Oreochromis niloticus: one gene and its partner. The protein of the gene in region 1 binds, or shares a complex with, the protein of each later gene. Links are inferred from orthologs where the notes say so. Each region holds a gene or a part of one and is shown in the gene's direction. Other genes may lie near its edges.

The links. Proteins that work in one complex are often made in the same cells at the same time.
Region 2: the proteins of ntsr1 (region 1) and nts are in contact, whole or in part, in a crystal structure (PDB 4BUO), measured with the Rattus norvegicus proteins. The link is inferred for Oreochromis niloticus from reciprocal best matches to the Homo sapiens genes NTSR1 and NTS. Residues at the interface, in NP_001102437.1 of Rattus norvegicus: Ser53, Asp54, Leu55, Asp56, Asn58, Phe128, His132, His133, Tyr146, Met208, Val224, Cys225, Thr226, Pro227, Ile238, Arg327, Arg328, Phe331, Cys332, Tyr333, Ile334, Ser335, Asp336, Trp339, Phe344, Tyr347, His348, Tyr351; in NP_001095851.1 of Rattus norvegicus: Arg157, Arg158, Pro159, Tyr160, Ile161, Leu162.

The regions. Positions count from the first base shown.
Region 1 is NC_031984.2:32,288,625-32,298,382, reverse strand, and holds the start of ntsr1 (neurotensin receptor type 1), read left to right. Parts: upstream 1-5,363; 5' UTR 5,364-5,437; coding exon 5,438-6,121; intron 6,122-9,758. UniProt on the Homo sapiens protein: G-protein coupled receptor for the tridecapeptide neurotensin (NTS). Signaling is effected via G proteins that activate a phosphatidylinositol-calcium second messenger system.
Region 2 is NC_031972.2:42,109,309-42,119,717, reverse strand, and holds the start of nts (neurotensin/neuromedin N), read left to right. Parts: upstream 1-6,252; 5' UTR 6,253-6,485; coding exon 6,486-6,546; intron 6,547-7,751; coding exon 7,752-7,813; intron 7,814-9,834; coding exon 9,835-10,038; intron 10,039-10,409. UniProt on the Homo sapiens protein: Neurotensin may play an endocrine or paracrine role in the regulation of fat metabolism. It causes contraction of smooth muscle.

The DNA.
Region 1 (9,758 bases):
AGAAGAAAGGATGTTCTGCAGAGTTTAGGAAGACTGGCTCTAGGTGGCATGGAAGTTACCAGATAACTAGGTAAGTACAGCTGTAGTAGTGAGGGAAACTGCCAAAAGGTGTTGGGTATATCTTTAGGTTTGAACAAAACCAGGTCTGATGTCCAGTATGTTGATATCATGATGTTATAGTGCAGCCATACAGAGGTGCTGCATGGTTCAGCAGCAGGTTTGTCCTTAATAAATAAGGCTTGAGTTCCTGATGCAGGAAGAAAATTTAGATTAGGTATGGAAATTGAGAACATGTTCTTGTAGAAAATCAGTTCCCAGTAGCCCATTCCTTAGAATTGTTAGTCTGCCTGCTGCTACAATCAGCTGATTTCAGTTCACAGTCAGAGGAGGAAAACAGCCACGCAGTCTAGAGTGTGAATATGGACATTTATATTTATTGCACAAAAAGACAAGCTACATGGCAATCTAGCAAAGAAACAACCACATTATGCTTCTGCATCTCTACAGACAGGATGCTAATACTAAGCTAGCCAAAAACCCAGGGTGAAAGCTGGGTGAATGCCAACCCCAGCAGCTGGACCCTTTACTTCAATAAGTAACAAAGAGATGAGCATTCAGGCTGAAGCCTCCCTTTCTACCTGTTCATGTTTCTAAATCAGAATCTATGTGGCAATCTTTTTTTTGTGCTGGTTTTCATCTTTGCTTTGTGCGGTCAGCTTTGTATTCTACTAAGAGAAAGATCTTAAAGATGTTTGTCCTTACTAGGGATTTGTGTTGGTTTGCGGGGTTGTAGCCTCAGATTTATGTTTGTTGAATGGTGATTATGAGACAGTGTGTTTCAGCTATTTTACAGAGTAACATGAAAGTAATGTAATGAGTAGTATAATAAATTACTTTTTTCTGGGAGTAGTTAATTAAGGTACTGCATTACTTTTAAGAAACATGTTCTGCATAATATGTGTAATAATTACTTTTTTAATAATGACTCCAACACTGATCACAACAAAGAGGGGAAATACCTCAACAAACATGCAGAAACATTTGATCCAATGTAATTTCTTTATTGCTGCTTAGCAATGGCAGTTACTCTCAAAACAGAGCCAGTAAGAACCCAATCACAATCAATAAGAGATCTATAATGGAATCAGAATAGCTAAATTCTTACCAAATCGCCTAATGAAGATGCAGAAATGATCCAGCAGGTTGAGAGTGCCAGGGGTGGTTTATGACACAGGATTAGCAGCAAGATAGTAGTGAGACCTACCATGATGTATGTTTTGGAAACTGACAAAAAGACAAGAGGCACAACTAAAGGTAACAGAGGATAAGACAAAGTTAAAGAGCCAAAGCTGAGAAGGCTGAAGAAGACAGAGAGTGGATATAATGGGCAAAGGATGTTGAATATGGAGCTGCCAGACATAAAGATAAAGAGGGTTGGTTCGTTGGTTGGTTTGACAGAATAAGACGGTATGGATACAGTGAGGTGGAGGCAGATGTTCTGCTGTAGTGACCCCTAAAGGGAGCTCCTGAAAGATCATGTACAAATTTAGGTTTGCTTGCAGCTTTCTGTAGCTTTTGTAAATATATGCTGTATCTATGATGTAGTGATGGGAGATCTGGCTCTTTTCGAAGATTCTGCTCTTTTGGCTTGTTTCCCACTTCAGAGCCTTCTATTTAACCTAATTTCACAATTATGAATTGTTTGTCTTTTGTGAACCAATTTTTGATTCAGTGTTTTCAAAAACACTTAAATTTTATGCAACTGCTTGGTAGAAAATACATGGAATTTAAGGCCTGGAAAAAAAGTTTTAAATCTGTTGTCCTCCACAATGGCAAATGGTTGAAAAAATAAATATAATTTTATCTTTGCAGTTCCAATACCATTGAAATGCAGTCAGATGCTTCTTTTCATGTTTCACTCATTTCATCACTTTTTAGTGAAAGTAAAGTTTTAAAATATTATTTTCCCGACATGCTCTGTTTGAAATAGCTGCCAACCTTCCTTCTTTCACATAATGGTCTGTCTTTGCATGTGATTGGCCATATGGCATGTCAATCAAAATAATATCCCATCCCTACATGCATGAGTTCTCAGTAGGGTAGGCTAAAGATGTGGCTCTCCCTGGCTAGAGTCAGCTCTTGTCATTCGCTAGAAAGAATCGACTCTGAGAACCGGCTCATTCACAAACGACACATCGCTACCATTATGGCACCTTCACTTTCATTTTCTCTAAGGTTCTATTTTCTTTTTCATTCCTTTCTGCCTGTGAACTGAGAGTAGGGATGACATGGAAGACTGTCTGATTTTAAAACGTTTCCCTGCAATACTCTCTAGCAGAACATATTAGCATCATTTTTTTAACTGTACCTGTGGATAAAATATACATATGTCTGACAAAAAATTGGGGTGGCTTTCACACCAGTTTTATTGTGCCCAAATTTTACTGAGAGAGAGCAACATAAGATACTTACAATATAAGTCACAGGAGCTCTGCTAAAAGGGTTAACAGTGGACAGTCAGAGACATGACATTTCTTTTAAAGCTTATATTTTAGATCTTATATTTTAATTATAAAGACTTTCTAAACATTTTATGCTATACCTAAAAGCAGGTAGTGCTTATAAATGACTTTTTAAATTCCCCACATTTTTAATAACAACTAATTCAGTCATGAAGGTTGAATAAGTGCTTAAATTGTCTTTTCATTATTAAAACTAAGAAGCTTCTCCTTACAATTTAATGTGGACACACTGGTTTTCCTTAAAAACAAACCTAGGGTAAGTGACTGCCTGGAAATTGTACATGATTCAGATCTGTTTAAGTTAACTCTGTTACTAAACATTTTAAAAAGGAGTTAGCACTATTAGTATTTTTGCCTGTTATAACTATTGGATTGTTATCTTATATCACACCAGAAAAATGTTTTTTACAAAAATAGGAGAAGAACAAAAATATATTTAATATTTAACAGTTAATAACAATTAATATTGTTCTTTAACTGGGTGAATTGGAAAAAAAAACCACATACAGAAATGTGAAAAAGTCTTGAACCACCCCTCATGTCTATATTTTGCTCTCCTCCATGGTGTAAATGGTAAATGGCCTGTATTTATATAGCGCTTTCTAGTCCCTAAGGACCCCAAAGCACTTTACATATCCAGACATCCACCCATTCACACACACAGGTGATGGCAAGCTACATAGTAGCCACAGCCACCCTGGGGCACACTGACAGAGGCGAGGCTGCCAAACACTGGCGCCACCGGGCCCTCTGACCACCACCAGTAGGCAACGGGTGAAGTGTCTTGCCCAAGGACACAACGACCGAGACTGTCCAAGCCGGGGCTCGAACCGGCAACCTTCCGATTACAAGGCGAACTCCCAACTCTTGAGCCACGATCGCCCCGTGTAAATTACCCTTTATACATGTAGTTTTTCTTGTACACTTTAAATTGCATCATTAGGCACCTTAGCATCAGCAAGGTGGTTCCCAAAGAGCTAATACCTGAAAATTTGCCATACCTCAGCATGCTGTGCAGTATGTCCATATAAATTTGAGGAAACTGGACAAGTGGCGGTAAAAGGAGAAGCGTTGAACAGTATCTGAAAGTTGTGTTATTAAGCAGTATGAAATAAGCCGCAAAAGACCTGACACAGCACTAGAGACAACCCTAGCCCTTCATTTGATCCACCTACTGTTTGCTGAAGCCTTATCAAAAATGGTCTCAGTAAAACATGGCTGTTAAGAAGCCATTGTCAAGGAAGAGAAACAGGAAGAAAAGGCCAAAGTATGCCAAATTACACAACCACTGGACTGAAGTCAGTAGCAACATGTCTTATGAAGTTATTAATCCAAATTTGAAATTTTTTGTTCAAATTATCATTAAGGATGAGGTGAGGAGAACGGTATCACAGTGCGTTTCTATAGCATAAACACAAGCCTAGAGAGAATGCAGAAAAGTAACATCAGATTTTGATCGACTATGCAATTTAATCTGGAAAGCATCTGATTGGCAACAGTTTCAATTGTCAGTACAATGGTACTGAAACAAATTGTCAATGCAGGAAAAGCAGGTCTGGATACAAAAGCATACATCAATCAAGAGCTGGTCTCCCAGATCCTAGACCAACATAACATTATTGAAGCAGTGTGGGATCATCCTGAGAGGATGGCAGAACAAAAGGCAGACAACATTTCCATGAGCCTGAAGAACTATTCCTGAAGCCTCCTTAAAAAAAAATTACAGGAAAGCTGCCTAAGAGAGTGTTGAAGCATAAAGGTGATCATACAAAATGTTGACTTTCAAGCCTGTTGCAACTGTAAAAATATATAATTGTTTTCCTATCAAAATATACAGAAATCATAAGTGGCTCAGACTTTTGCACCATGCTGAATGTTGCATGTTGGGATTTTTCCTCTCCCTTTTTTTAGACAAATGACTATCAAATTATCTTTTTAGAGAAATATTATTTTATGAATCCCACAAATCTTAACTATATAACTAAAACAATAGCCACTGTTAAATAATCCACTGGTTTTATTTCTATTCTATACATTTGTATTGATTTTTAGGGGACTTTTGCCCCAGGGCAGCAATCAGAAAGAGATGTTCTGTTTTATCAGAGTTTGGAGGGTGTCATGGACAGGTTGTTGATGCTCGGCAGAGTCCCACAACAGAAATGATCTTGCAACACATAAACAATGCTTTAAAGCCTTATATAATGTATGAGCAACATATGAATGATAGTGAGCACCCAGGCGTGAGGAAAAACTGAAATGATATGCATATATTAAAATCTTTAGATGTACAACTGTGTGATAAACAATGTGGGAAAAATGTCAAAAAGAGGTGAGCCTGGTTTGCTACACTGCATTCAGTGCCAACTGCTGTGAAATAACCATTAGAATAATTTTCTCCTTCTTGTCCAAAGGAGTTCACACTAGGAGTAGATCATGAGCATAATCATTATCTGGGGCCCAGAGTAAAGTCTGGTACCCTGTTGTGGAGTCTCCAGCTTACACATAACATCATCTCTTTCTGTAAGGCTGACTGAGAGAAGAAAGAGGACAAAAGCTTTTTGGAGAGAAAGTTAAAGGTTTTTTAAAAAAAAAAACAGAGAAAAACAGCAAAGAAAAAAACTTATATTAGAAACCATACTTGAAATTAAATTCCTTTAATTCTTGATCCGTTGTTGCATCGCACTGTTTGTTTCCAAGGTGAACCATAAACGGACAAGATGGAACAAACGGACAAAGTGAATGGTCGTGCGTCATCGCAGCAGCACCAATAAGCGAGCACGCCTCCTGTCGTGCCAAATTATAAAGGGTGGTCTCCTCTGACTTAAACCAGAGCGAGTCCGTTTTACTTCAAGTGTTAACGCGTCGGCACATATCCGCTCGGCTTGCTCCGTTGTACCTTTTCGTTTCATACCTTCATGAAAAAAAGCAGAATGGATTTAAACTTCACGCTCTCGGGGAGCGACTTGATCGGCTTTGGCTCGTTGGCGCAGAAACTTTTTGAGAATAACTCACTGCCTCCATTTGATAACAGCACCGTCGGTCCCAAAAGTAATGAGGAGGACCTGGAAGTTAATACGAATGTGTACGCAAAGGTCATAGTCACTATCATTTACTTGGCTCTGTTCGCCATAGGCTCCCTGGGCAACTCCATCACCATTTATACCCTGATTACCAGAAAGACGCTGCAGAACCTCCAGAGCACCGTACACTATCACCTGGCCAGTCTCGCCGTGTCCGACCTGCTCATCCTGATCCTCTCCATGCCCATTGAGCTCTACAACTTTATCTGGTTCCATTACCCATGGGTGTTTGGGGATGCCGTGTGCAGGGGTTACTACTTCCTCCGGGACAGTTGCTCTTATGCCACCGCGCTTAACATCGCCAGCCTGAGCGTGGAGCGCTACATGGCCATCTGCCACCCGTTCAAAGCCAAGAGCATCATGTCCCGCAGCCGCACCAAGAAACTCATCAGCGCCATGTGGCTCGCTTCCTTCGCCCTCGCGACGCCGATGCCCTTCATCATGGGCCAAGGGATGCGTAACGGCGAGAAGATATGCACCACTGTGGTGTCTCCGGTCACGGTGAAGACCGTGCTGCAGGTGGGTGTCGTGGAAAGCTTTTATTATCGCAAACGCGCGTCTCCCCACTGTGGTTTCTTTAGGCATCGAGAGAGAGTAAAAATCTACAGTATGAGTAGTACTTGAGCCACAAGTGGTAGGTGAGATGGCTGAGATGGTGAGATCGTTCTAAACATCTAGGAGTGTGTGCTGTAGTTTTACGCGCAACTTCGCCTTTACCATTATCGTCTGTGCGCACCGATACATGTTGTTGTTGTTTCGTCGAGAAAAAAAAAAACTACATGGTGGCCTGCTCATGAAAACATTTTAGTTATTAAACCGTGTAGGGTCAACGAAGTCTGTCAAAAACAGTGTTTTCCTGCTGCAAGCAAATGATCTGCAAATCAGCAAATATAGCTTTTAGTCGGAAAAAAGCAAATATTGCTTTTAGTCGAATTATTTAAACTATCGTGTCTTCAGTTATATTTATAAATTATATATATATATCTGTTGAAAATAAACATTTGGTGAGCAAATTGTGTTGTGTTGGCTTACTTTCTTCTTTGTTTTTAAGCTGGTAGAGTTCGAATGATTAGAGATTCATTCATAAACACACTAAAAAGTTAGATTATAGCTATATTTTTTTCATACAGAGCACCAGAGATCTGACCATTATAGCTCCTCAGATGTGAGAATGTGTTGCTTTTGGTCTCTTTGAAAGGTTAGGAAAGTAAAATCCAATGCTTGCGCTATTTTACACATGAAACCTAAATGGGAGAGTTGGTTGAACTCATGTCAAAGTAATGTTAAATACAGAAGTGTCAAAAATATAATATAAATTTATGCAAGCTGTGAAAATGATCAGGTTCCAAAGATATTCTATTTCTTGAAATGCTTCTTGTAAAAGATAATATCAGACCATGACATTGTCTTTTGTGTGGCAAACTGAATATTTTGAGGGTGGAAGCACCCACAGAACTGCTGTAGGTTTGATGCTTTCATGTAGGGAACTAGCCGTCTTACATTATGCACTCCGTGATGGTGACAAGAAAAGAAAGAATGTGTCACTTTACCTTCATTCGTACAGTCCATGTTATACGATATGATATAAAAGCACAGGAGGACACTAAAGGAGTATTCTTTTTGAAATTCATCTCATCATCACAGCAGACTAAATATCTTAACACCAGGAAGTATAGGTACTGCCAAGGAATAAGAAAAAAAACAGCCACTTTCTAAATTGCCAGAGAACTATAAAATAGAGCAAAATGACAGCATAAAACAGCATAAAGCACAGTCCTATACACAACCCCCTGAACAGACCAGTTACAAATATAATTCAAAAAGGGTGTTGGTGTTTGTTTTTCTTTCTTTAAGGAAGAACAGCAGTTGAAATTATAAGTTACAACATGCTGAACCTTGATGTGAACAAGTGGTCTGCTCGACAAAAAGGATGACCCTGTATTACAGTTTTATGCCACAATAAAAACAAGTATTATTACGACTATCTTCTTCTGGGAAACGACGTGGTCGGTTCTGTCTTCTCCCCCGCGGATCTTCTCCTCCACTCCGTCCACGTCTGACCTCATCTACCATCTGCTCCTTTTCTGGAAAAAGATAGAGAAAGAAAAACACCTCCCTAACCTAACCTTGCTGCATTAATATTATCTAACAATTCTCAGCCTATTGGTTCTACTTATTATTTAAGTACGGGGCATTCTGTTCGGACTCCCTTGGCCCAGAAAAATACCAGCCAGACTCTAACTCTACATATGATGTGTAAGCATGTTTGCAAGTCCCTCTGCAGCTCTATATGTCAGTCTCAATAATTCAATTCAATCATAGCGCTGAATTGATGCTTTTGACCCTTATTACATGTGAAATGTCACAATGTCAAATTTCACATGCTTAATGTGAAACTTATCAATGATGGCCAGCCGTCTGGCCTCAAACCATGACATTACCACCACTATGTGGCATTTAACCCATGCAGCCCTCAATCAAATGCGTGCCCATTAAATTGTCTCTCATCCACCAAAAATTTGAGAATCACAGCTTTAAACTCTGTGAAATTAGTTGAAATGGACAGGGACACAAATTAGAGCTAAATATCATGGTCTTCTGTTTTCTCGAGCAACTGTCTGAAATGCCAGAGAAGAGAAAATGCCTGAAGTGCCTCAGTCCCTGGACTATGTGCATTGTAGGCTGATCTGTGTCTGACGGCAGATACCCTAGGAATAATCTACAAGTGCCTTATGGCAGTTTGCCTTTGAGCTCTGGATGTGTAGGTGACTGATAGAAGTCAAGACACTGAGTTTTTACTGAGAGTGCGGCACCCACATCTAATGAAAAGATATTTCTCAAAACTGTCTCCAGGCCTTCCCACAGAGCAACAAGCTTAGAGGCTGTGTAATTGATTAGGCCAGTCTCCCTTCGCTTGACAGGCGACATACTTCACATTGACTGAAAACTTGTTGAGGTTGTGGAGAAAAGCGATTTTGGTTCCAGTGTAATCGTTAATGATCATCATGATTAGTGCCCCCTGCTTCTCTGCATCATACTGAATCTATTTTTCCATATCTGTTTTTCTGCTCTTTTGATGTCCTTCAATGTCTCATTTTTTTTTTTCTGTTTTCATCACTCCTGCATGACTAACTAAAGCTGTGCCAAGGATAGCAATTGTTATCTTGCATTGCTTTCATTCAGGCCATAAGTGAGCCAGGCTGCATTAAAAAGTCCACATTTTCCACACGGTTCTCTGTAGACAACGTGTTGCTGTAGAAATATAAGTTGGGGTGTTGGGGTCTGGCAGCAGATGGTATCACACAATCGAATTGCTACAATAACATTTTGAGTGTTTGTGTACATATTCTCTATTGTCCATCTATGATAGATTTGATGTAAGCAGTTTAGGAGGCACCCTGTTGCAGTAGACGGTCACCATACGCTCGGTCTGTTTGGACAACAGTGAAATACTCTGAGGGGAAAAAAGTGTGTGTGTGTGTGTGTGTGTGTGTGTGTGTGTGTGTGTAAATGGCAAATATAAATAATGCAGGACTCCTGGATGTGTTTCTTAAAACTGTCAAACGAAATCTCTCAAGGGTTTCAAAAATGTTAAATATTTTCTATACTTCTACTAATATTTAACTAAGATGTTACTCCTAGTTGGTATTGTTCTCTCACTAGAGCTAACAACAGCTTTAATTTAAGGTAACACTTGAAAATGTGTCGGATATGGTGTTGTTCCTACAACATCATAATTAATGCCATTTCAACTGACCAATCAAGTTGGATCAGGACTGGGAAAATGATTTTCCTTCACAGCTTTCCCACATGGCTTACACTGTTAAAGGATCAATTTCAACAAAGCATTAAAAACATATCATTTAGTAAATGCTGGTATGTTCTAGACACACCGGGTTAGGGATGGGTATTAATAAGATTTTTATGATTCCGATTCCATTTTCGATTCTGTTTAACGATTCGATGCTTTATCGATTCTGTTATCGATTCTTTTTTTAAAAAAAGGAGAACACTAAGGTCGATTAGCTTAGAACTTTGTTTGATATCTTCTCTTTGAACAAGATAGAAATTTAGGAGTAACATGGCCTTACAAACCCAACAGTGAGCTCTTAAGAGATCCTTAAGAGATCCACAGCCTACGGCTCTTCAATGGGGT
Region 2 (10,409 bases), on another chromosome or scaffold:
TCTTTCTCTCTCTGCTTTGCCTCCCTATGTCCACTCTCGGTCGGTGCTGTTCTACAGACATCATCTGAGCTTTAAAGACAGAAGGACTCACCCTCATCTCACCTGCCTCCCCACTTTCCACCAACCCACTCACTACTCCTAAGTAGGGATGCACCGATACCGATACTGGTATCGGGTATCGGGGCCGATACTGTAAAATGTGTGCGTACTCGTACTCGTAAAAGTTAACCGATACCATGAACCGATACTAATGTAGCCCGAATTTGGGAGTAGATACTCATAATTCCCATGGACTTGAACGCCACGGTAACATAAGGTGTTCACAGTTATGTGATGTAACTGTACCCTGAATTTAATTTGCCCTGTAATATGTCACAAGGTAAATACAGGTAATTAGAGCAATCAAACTGTTATGTTAATCATAAAGTATTATTTTATGGTATGTAACTCTGAAGGGAGATAAAATATTGTTCAGAGTTCTAATTTTCTGGAGGCCCGTGAAGGTAGCATAAAACGGGACCTGTGTATCTGTTGCAATGGAGGAGGAGAAGAAGGGCAGAAATCTGTGCCATCAGAAACTGAATTTGAATAAGTTAAATTTGAATTTGAATTACTCGGATTGAATCTGAATTGTAACTTGAATGAAAGCTTTTGAAAACTGAATTTGAATTAGTTTAATTTGAAATTGAATTTATGGTTTGAAAATGAATTGATTTGCTTTGAAACTGCATTTTATCCTTTAAAAATTCAGCTCTCGAATAATTTCAGATTCACTTCTCACCATTCAGTTTCAGTTCTACAATTCAATTTCAGTTCCAAAATTCAGTTTTTTGGGACTTACATCCGGTTCCGGTTCAAGCGCAGATTAATAGAACTACAGACTGATAGCGTTACTGATGGAATCTACAGCGTCTTGAGCTGAATTAAGACTTCAGAAGTCATTCGTCATGTCGAATGACCAGCGGATAAACTCTCAGGTTGGTAATAAATGTATTACATGTATAAGAACAAGCGTCATGTTAACAAATGATAGCCGTACAGTAACCTTCATGCTTATTGTAGCTGTTAGCTAAAAACGCTAATTTAGCGTAGTTTGCCCTGATTTCAGCTTTGACAAACAAATATGATCGACTGTTTCTAGTAGAATTCCAAAGTTGTCATCTTGTACCCTGTCAGAGCCCTGTATGCTTGCAGAGACCCCTACAGTAGGGAAACATGCAAAACGCTGTCCAAACCTTTGTATTTGAGCTTTATTTATGTCTTACACAGCATCCCAACTCTTTAGCTAACTTAATAACTTTAGCTAAAGTGAATAGTTAGTCTTATTCATTGGTGCAGCTTTACTGGATCACCTCTGTTTGAAGTAATATAATATGATATACAACTATCACTGAAACAGCAAACTTTGTAAATAAACAACACTTCTCATTCTCTAAACGTTTGGCCACAGCTGTAGATTACACTATCAGTGCTTGTTCACTCTTGACAATAATTACATTTCTAAATTCTCTTTGTGCATTTACAGGTAAACAATATCTAATATTTTATCTAAATGACTGCTTTGTCTTTGAAAAGGTGAAGAGCCTGAGGCCGGTGACACTCCAGTTCTACTCTAAGTACATCCTTACGGTGGCTCACAGGACAAGGCTACATTCCTGTCCTGCCAGAAGAGAAGAGAAACTTCAGAGTCTTCATGAAGTTCAACCAAAACCTGTCATATTCCATATGACAGGGGTCTCAAACTCCATTCCTCGAAGGCCGGTGTCATGCAACTTTTCCATGCCCTCGAGGACTGGAGTTTGAGACCCCTGCTGTATGGTGTTCATGCAGTTTTCTACCCCACAGTTACAGCATGTCTGACTGCCTGTTCAGCATATGCAAAAATATATGATGAGTTTAAGCATGTGATGACTAAGGCCTTCCATTATGGTGTTTGTCATCACATGTCACAGACATCTGGATGATCATTTGGAATAAACAAAAAAACAAAAAACTTGTTACTTCATCTTTTATCTTTATTATTATTATTGTTCTTATTTTACATTTTTCATTGTTAGGCATTGGGTTTATTTGTAGTAGTCCTTTCCAGCTTCTTTCCCTCTTCCATGTTACTGTGTCAGCTTGTCAGCATCTATTTGGGGTTGGGAGTGGAACAGGAAGTAAGGAACAGAAAGTGCCATTTAAACCAGGAGAGGATCTTATATTTCAGAAGAAGGGATTAATTCAAAAGAAATGACCTCAATGCCATATTTTATTTAGGAACCCTAGAGAGCACTTTGCAAAATAACACATTCTTATAATTTCACCCTCAGATGAGCCAAGCTACGACTGTCAGGGAAGGTGATGTAGGTACAGAGCATGTGAGAGTGGTTAAGTTAATGTCTCTTGTCTAGATGAAGGCACAGGAGGGATCAATGGCAAGGCGTAGAGATTCAGTATCTTCAGTCTTCAGTGGACACTCCATTTCTGACACAAAACACCTGTAAAAGATGGTCGATTTAGGAGGTGACCCGACAACTTCAGCCTGTCAAACATAGCAATGGAGCAGTATGTTTAAAAAAAAAAAAAAATCTAATTAAGCACGCACTCAGTACCCTAAGAATTATTATGGTAGTTAAACACAGTGATAGTTGTATATCATATTATATCACTTCAAACAGAGGTGATCCAGTAACGCTGCACTAATGAATTAGACTAACTATTCACTTTAGCTAAAGTTATTAAGTTAGCTAAAGAGTTGGGATGCTGTGTAAGACATAAATAAAGCTCAAATACAAAGGTTTGGACAGCGTTTTGCATGTTTCCCTACTGTAGGGGTCTCTGCAAGCATACAGGGCTCTGACAGGGTACAAGATGACAACTTTGGAATTCTACTAGAAACAGTCGATCATATTTGTTTGTCAAAGCTGAAATCAGGGCAAACTACGCTAAATTAGCGTTTTTAGCTAACAGCTACAATAAGCATGAAGGTTACTGTACGGCTATCATTTGTTAACATGACGCTTGTTCTTATACATGTAATACATTTATTACCAACCTGAGAGTTTATCCGCTGGTCATTCGACATGACGAATGACTTCTGAAGTCTTAATTCAGCTCAAGACGCTGTAGATTCCATCAGTAACGCTATCAGTCTGTAGTTCTATTAATCTGCGCTTGAACCGGAACCGGATGTAAGTCCCAAAAAACTGAATTTTGGAACTGAAATTGAATTGTAGAACTGAAACTGAATGGTGAGAAGTGAATCTGAAATTATTCGAGAGCTGAATTTTTAAAGGATAAAATGCAGTTTCAAAGCAAATCAATTCATTTTCAAACCATAAATTCAATTTCAAATTAAACTAATTCAAATTCAGTTTTCAAAAGCTTTCATTCAAGTTACAATTCAGATTCAATCCGAGTAATTCAAATTCAAATTTAACTTATTCAAATTCAGTTTCTGATGGCACAGATTTCTGCCCATAGAGAACGGCATGGAGAGATGCACGAGGTTAGCTGAACCAAAGTGAGAGACTCGGCTAGTTTTACTGAGGTTAACTAGCACAAAAGAGTGTGTAACTAGAAAGCTAACTGTGTGAGAGCTTCACAACAGAGTGTGGGTGAAGTGACTTTTTGTTTCAACGGTCGCACCACCGTGGAAAACTGTGTTTCCAGCTACGACCGCCGAGGCTAAAGGCTAGCCCGGACTGCTTGGCTGCACCACGGAGGCAGCCGCTATGGACTGTCGGAGAGCTGGACAGTGACGGGCTAACGTGCTGTAGCAGAGACAGCATCGGGTCCGCAGGGAGTGGATTTAGTGTGGGACTGGTGAACGGCGACCTACCGAGCAACGGAACTGTAAGTCAGACTTTTGTGCTCTTACTGGGGAGAAGAGGATTTTTCTCCATCGTCCGGCGTGAGCAGCAAACAGGCCTGCAACAAGTGTGAATGTGAGTGTGTGTGGGGCCCATGTGTGAATATTGTATGTTTAGTGGAGTTATATAACGTGTTTTGGAGTGTATATTAGTGAGTAACTTACCAAAAGGTGATAACATAAGTTGGGTTGTTTAATATAATTTGAAAGGGAATTATTTCATTTATACAGTGTATTTCATTTGGTTAAGGAATTGGAATATCATTTGAGTTTAAAAAAGGGATGTGTTGTACAGTATTTGTCTCTGCCCTTACGTTCAGTAAACGTTTCGTTTGTGTTAAAGAGTTGTCTGGGGTCGTTTCTTTACTACTGGTTAAGTTTAACTTGTGTGTGGTAGAAGTATCGGATTTTGTACTCGGTATCGGCAAGTACTCAGATCCAAGTATCGGTATCGGATCGGTTTGAAAAAATTGGTATCGTTGCATCCCTACTCCTAAGGTATTGTGTCTGTATGCCAGCAGTCCCTCTTAAATCCCTGTTCAAGCGAATTACAAGATTTATCTCTCGCCTCTAATAGCTTACAGAGACTTACCTGCATGCACTCTGTCTCCTTCAGTAGAGACTTCCATAAAGGTTCTAGTATTCTAAGTCACTCGCCTACCCTTTACTATCTGTTCAATAAACAAGTTAAACCCATTAATGGTTGTCAGTGTCTGCTTCTGCAGACCAATTTGCAGTTAAATGTTACATCAGAAGGCTGCAGTGAGAATTCTGACAGGGACTAGAAAGAGAAATCCTATTTTTCTATATTGGCCTCTCTTCACTGGCTCCCTGTTAAATAAAAAATGTAAGTTAAAATTCTTCTCCTCACATGCAAATCTTTTAAAGTAGAATTTGAGGTGGAACTTACAGCTATCAGGTCCCTCTTCTGTCTCCTTGAATTTAATTGTTAGTTATTATTAATCTCTGGCTCTCTTCCACAGCATGTCTTCATCCTGTCTTCCACCCACAGCTGGTTGTGGTTGATGGCCGCCCCTCCCTGAGCCTGGTTCTGCCCGAGGTTTATGCCTGTTAAAAGGGAGTTTTTCCTTCCCACTGTCACCAGATTGTGACATCCGATTGAGAAGTTTTTCTCTGTATTATTGGAGGGTCTATAAAGCACATTGAGGCAACTGTTGTGATTTGATGCTATATAAGTAAAATTGAATTGAACTAATTTGAACTTAATCAGTTCCCAGTTTGGGAGACAGACAGGTTCTTCACTTTTAGAATTAGGATTAAAACTTCCCTTTTGATATAGCCTATAGTAAGGGCTGGATCAGGTGACCATGGACCATCCATTGGTTGGCTGCAATAGGGTTAGGCTCCCAGAAGTCTTCTTCTTTACTTACCTCATCTCGTGTTTTTTCCTCAGGCTCAACCGGTCCCAACATTTGGCTCCCCCTTTACAATTTTGTGCAACAAAACCAGAAAACAGCTCTATTTCAACTACATTAACAAAATGAATCAGAAATTAGTGCATGGCTTTGTATTTGCTCTTAAGTTCATAGAGTAAGTATGCTGATTTAAAGTGTTTTCTATGGAATTACACAAAAATATAAACCGAAAGAAGAGAAATAAAGTTGGAGGGTATATGATGGAAAGCTTTCAAAAGCTACCAAATGGACCTGGTGGTAAGATTATTTTCTTAGTCATTGTTTCCAAGGTCCTCTTAACAAGTTGTGAAAGCCAGTTTTTTATTATTAAAGTCAAAAAATAGAAATCCCAACGTCTGCAGGTTGTGGACTGATTGTGATGATCATGCAAAGCAGTAATAAATTTCAAGCTTTTTGTTGATTAATGGATTACATTTATGTCAGCGGGAATTCATAGTAGAAAAAAAAAACTACTACAAAGTAAAACCTGCTTTAGAGAAACATGGGCCTTCATGTTAATTAAGTCCTAATTGTCAGCAATATTTAAGCCTTTAGCATGTACTGGTTTTGTTTGTTAACCAAGGCAACAACCTGATGAATTAGGAAAAAATAAATGAAAAGACTGTTCAACTGTGAAGCAAAAAGTGAGCCTGATTTGTTCATCCTGCCTCATCACTGCTGGTTCCCGTCAGTGGAACATGAGGCTAAACTAACCTCAGACTGTGTGCGTTCATGAGGGGAAATAACCACATCTTCCAAACCTTGACGCAAAAACCTTTCGCGTCATGATGCCGGAGTGACGTCGGATGAAACATCTGATGACACAGTGACATGAGTGAAGAGATGCCATGAAGGGAGAATGAGTGGGATGTGGTAATGGGTGGGAAGGTGGGGATGGAGATGTGTGTCTGTGTGGGTGGGGTAGGGGGGGGCAGATGCTGTGACATCACTTTGGCTCTTATATACTCAGGGAATGGAGCCCACTGTGCTTCACATCCCAGCAGCAGAAAACTGCTTAAGTGTGTATAGATCTGAAGGAGAAGAAGAACAAGAAAAAAAAACAACAGCTTCACTAAATTTTGTCTTCAGCCTCTTTTTGTCTGTGTCTGGCCCCTAACCTTATGGACTAGATTCCTCCTCAGGTGAATTCTTCAGTGTGGGATCCTTTTTTTGTTCGTTTGGGGTATTTCTTTTCAGATTTTTTTGTTCTGATCAAGATGCAGACACAGTTGGCGTGTATGCTTCTCCTCTGTTTAACATGTGGTGCACTTTGTACAGGTAAGCACTGGTGTTCTTTCAACAGGTTTTCTATGCAGAACTTTATGAATTTATTCACAAAACAGGTGCATCTTACTGAAATGTTGCATGTGCATAAAAGAAGGAAAAAAAATACTGCAAATATTTCTGAAAAACCTTGAATGGCAAAGTTGGTTAAACAGGATGGTTTTGAGTTTGGTCCTTTAGATTAAATACTGAAATAACCTGCAGTTGAAATTATTTATTTTTTAGGAAAAATCAGAGAATGGCATCTGACTTCATGACTCAGCTAACTTTTAAACCTCGGTTTATTAAAAAAAATAAATGTATAAGTGAAAATCTTAATGTTGCTCAAGGATTGCAGCTCTTTTAGGCTACTACAAAACTATTTCCCCCCTCAAAGATCAATTGCCTCTTCCAGTCTTTCAAATCGATGCATAATTTGTGCTTTGTTTAACTGTCAGGGTGCACTGGGACTCAGGCTGATCAATAGTGTCACCTGTTGAAAGCTTAAAAGTGGCCATAGTCACAAGTGAATATGGGCTTTTATGAAAGTTTCACTTCACCTCTTTCAAACAAGGCACAGCAGAGAAAACTATTAATGTAACTATTAATGTAACTTACACTATTGTTAACATTCTTTGTTTGATCCTATGTCAGGGAAATGAAACTTAATTAGTTTCATTTATTTTACATTAAATGCAGTTTACACTGAACTATTTCCAATACTCAAAATCCATGTGAATGGATTGGTACTAGATGATAGTCACTTTTGGATCAATAAGCAAATAAAAGACAACTTTTATGCACACACACACACACACACACACACACACACACATGTATATATACATATTGATATTATGTGTTGCTTTTTGTCACTGTCAGGGTGCACAGGGACTCCATTATCAATAGTGATCAAGATGACCGAGGGCTGGGTTTCTTCGCCACATTACTATTCAAATGTAAATGATGAGAAACTAATTCTTAAATTTAAATAACATTTCATTGAGGACTGAGCTAAACTCCACTCCAAAAATATTGATGCCCCAAATACTGACTTCTTTAAGTAGTTGGATTACATGTCTCGGTATACATTTAGATTAGACCAAGTATTTTTGTTTTAGTTATATTGCTTTATGTTTATGAGGGCAGAAATCTTTTGTTTTGTGTTTTTATTTGTGTGAAATGTGAATGTTGTAAAGCTGTTTTTCTGTAACTGACAGATGTCGACCAGGAGCAGCGAGCGCTAGAAGAGGAACTACTCAGCAGTCTCTTCACTTCCAAGGTATCTGGTCTTTTTACATCTGTGATATCAGAGACTGGAAAGAAAAGCTTCATCCTGCCGGGTCGGTCTCTGACCTCGCCGATAAAGGCTTTCCATGTGTTCTTTCATGAAATCTACATCCGCGCTTCAGTGGCGACCTCAACTTGCGGTTGTGCTTATGCTGAGTGGGAGATAAATAATTTACCACAAGAGGCTTTTTGTGCCACTCAGGCTGCCTGAGCATTTACTTTGTTTTTTAAGTCGATTTGTTCTTTTTAAAAGTGTATCCAGTTCAAATGTGCTCAGAAAAATAAAAAAATAATCACCTTTCCATTTGCTGCAGTCCTTTGAAACGAGGAGAAAATAAGAGCTGAGATTGGGCATTCTAATTCAGTTGTAACTTTGAGCTTTTTATCACATTTATCTGATGTCTGCCTGAGGCTATGCAAAGCTCAGGTATGAAATCAGTGAATGTGGAACCAAAGGCATGCACAGACGGATGGCCGATCCTAATAGGATTCAGATGGACCTGGCAGTATAGTTACGACACATCTTTTACCCTTCCTGCTGATAAAAAACCGCGATGCTCACACGGAGACATGACGGTGACAAATCAGCCATTTGATTCATGGCTGCCGATGCTCAGAGGTTGCTCAGGGGTGATGATTGTAATAATAACTTGCTGCATGACTGACAGACTGCTCAAGAGGCTGGAAAGTGCAGTATGGTGGAAGATAGACCTATTTGTGGCTCTTTATCTACACACTATATATTTGACAATAAAATTGACTGATATACTCCTCACTTCCTTTCATCTGATTAAATACCACGGTTAATGCTCCATTGTGGTTTTTCATTCTCTACTGAATACAACTAAATTACCTTCTTATTTCTCTGCATAGTGAGTCACTGACCTCTGTGTTCAGTATCGTTAGTTGTTCCGATGCTGGAATTTAGATTGAGCTTTTGCTGTAACTGCTTTAGCGTCTCTATAAAATGCAAGTTTGTGAACGCTAAAGAGCCCAGGAGACTAACGTTAAGGTAAAAATTTCCAGTGAAGCACCACAATCTTTTATATGACATTACAGCACAATTGCATGGCCACACTAACTCAGCTAGTTTGTCTTTTGTGCATGGGCAATTTCCAAATGTCAGCTGCTTATGTTTGATCCTGCGAGACTTGTTCATTTGATGCCACTAAAGCTTTTATCCACGTCTCCTGCCTGGCAAACAAAAAGAGTTTTTGTCTTTATATTTGAGGATACTGTATATAAATGATGACCCGAGTGAGCCTCACTGACACTGACATCTTTAACTGCAACATGCACGTGACAGCCAGTACACACAGAAGACTCTGGGGGCTCTTTAATATCTCACTGCACTCTAGAGACATTAGATTATAACTCAGTTGTCTGCACTTAAATGAAGTTACGTGTGGCTGAAAAGTTCACTCTGAGTGCATGTGTCTTTAAAAAATAATCGGTGCTTAGATTACATTGTAAAAGTCTCACATGCAGAATCCTCAGTCCATTTTTAAAGGAACTACCTGAGTGTTTACTGCTGCAAATGCAAAATGTACAACATTAAAACACTGAGTGAGAGTTAGGTGTAGATCACAATATTGACTGTATTCTGTTTGCTATGAAATAAGCTATGAAAGGACAAATATCAAAATGATAAAGTCAACAGTTTGGCTGAATTTTAAAATTATGGCCACAGTTTGTACTTACAGTGTTGTGGACGTGGATTGAGTAATGGATGAAAATGTCGTTTTTCAGTCGGATCATTTCTGTCGATATAAATGTTTCACGAGAGAAAACAATCCCCATTAAACCAAAAAGCTTCTAAACCACCTGAAACGTCAGCCTCTTGAGTGGTCAGCACAGTTTTGACTTCACCCAAGTTCACAAAATACACTAAAACACCAACAAAAATATCGCTCAAAGCAGGAATCTGATTAAGTGATGCACTCTGAGTGTTAAAAACCCAACCATTCAATCCATTTAACTGTCTCATCCTGGTATCTTGTGCCCTCTGTGCAGATGAAACAGAATAAGCAGAGTGCCCCCTATTGGCGCGTGTCTCTGGCCAACCTCTGTAAGATGCTGAGCGCCCTGCGCCAGGAGGCATGGAGTGGCGAGGAGGAGGACGAGGATGGGGGTCTGAGGGAGGGGAGCCTCCAGCTGCTGGATGAGATGTACAACTTGCAGCGCATCTGCCGAGTACTGCAGAGCCGGGAGGAGAGGGTCAGACAATCATCTTTAACTTACTTTATTTTGCTGTGTGGGCTACTTTTCAAATAACAACAAATTGCATAAGCACAAGCAAATATTTACTGGTAAAATCTAAGTATCAGAGGTTCCACTAGCACCTTGCATAAATTATGGATAGCTAAGGAAATTCTCAAAAGTGCTAATCTCCTAGCTAAGCTACTTGTTGAGAAGTAACTGTCAACCAAAAGCCCAGTCAAAACAAATACACAGACTTGTGTACATACACACTTACTCACTCACAGCGCCAGAACACACAGGAGCATGTGTATTCTCTCCTAAAGCAAACACACTTCGTTAAATCTCCCCTCACCCCCACTTCGCCTCCTCATCTCTTCCTCACTCGC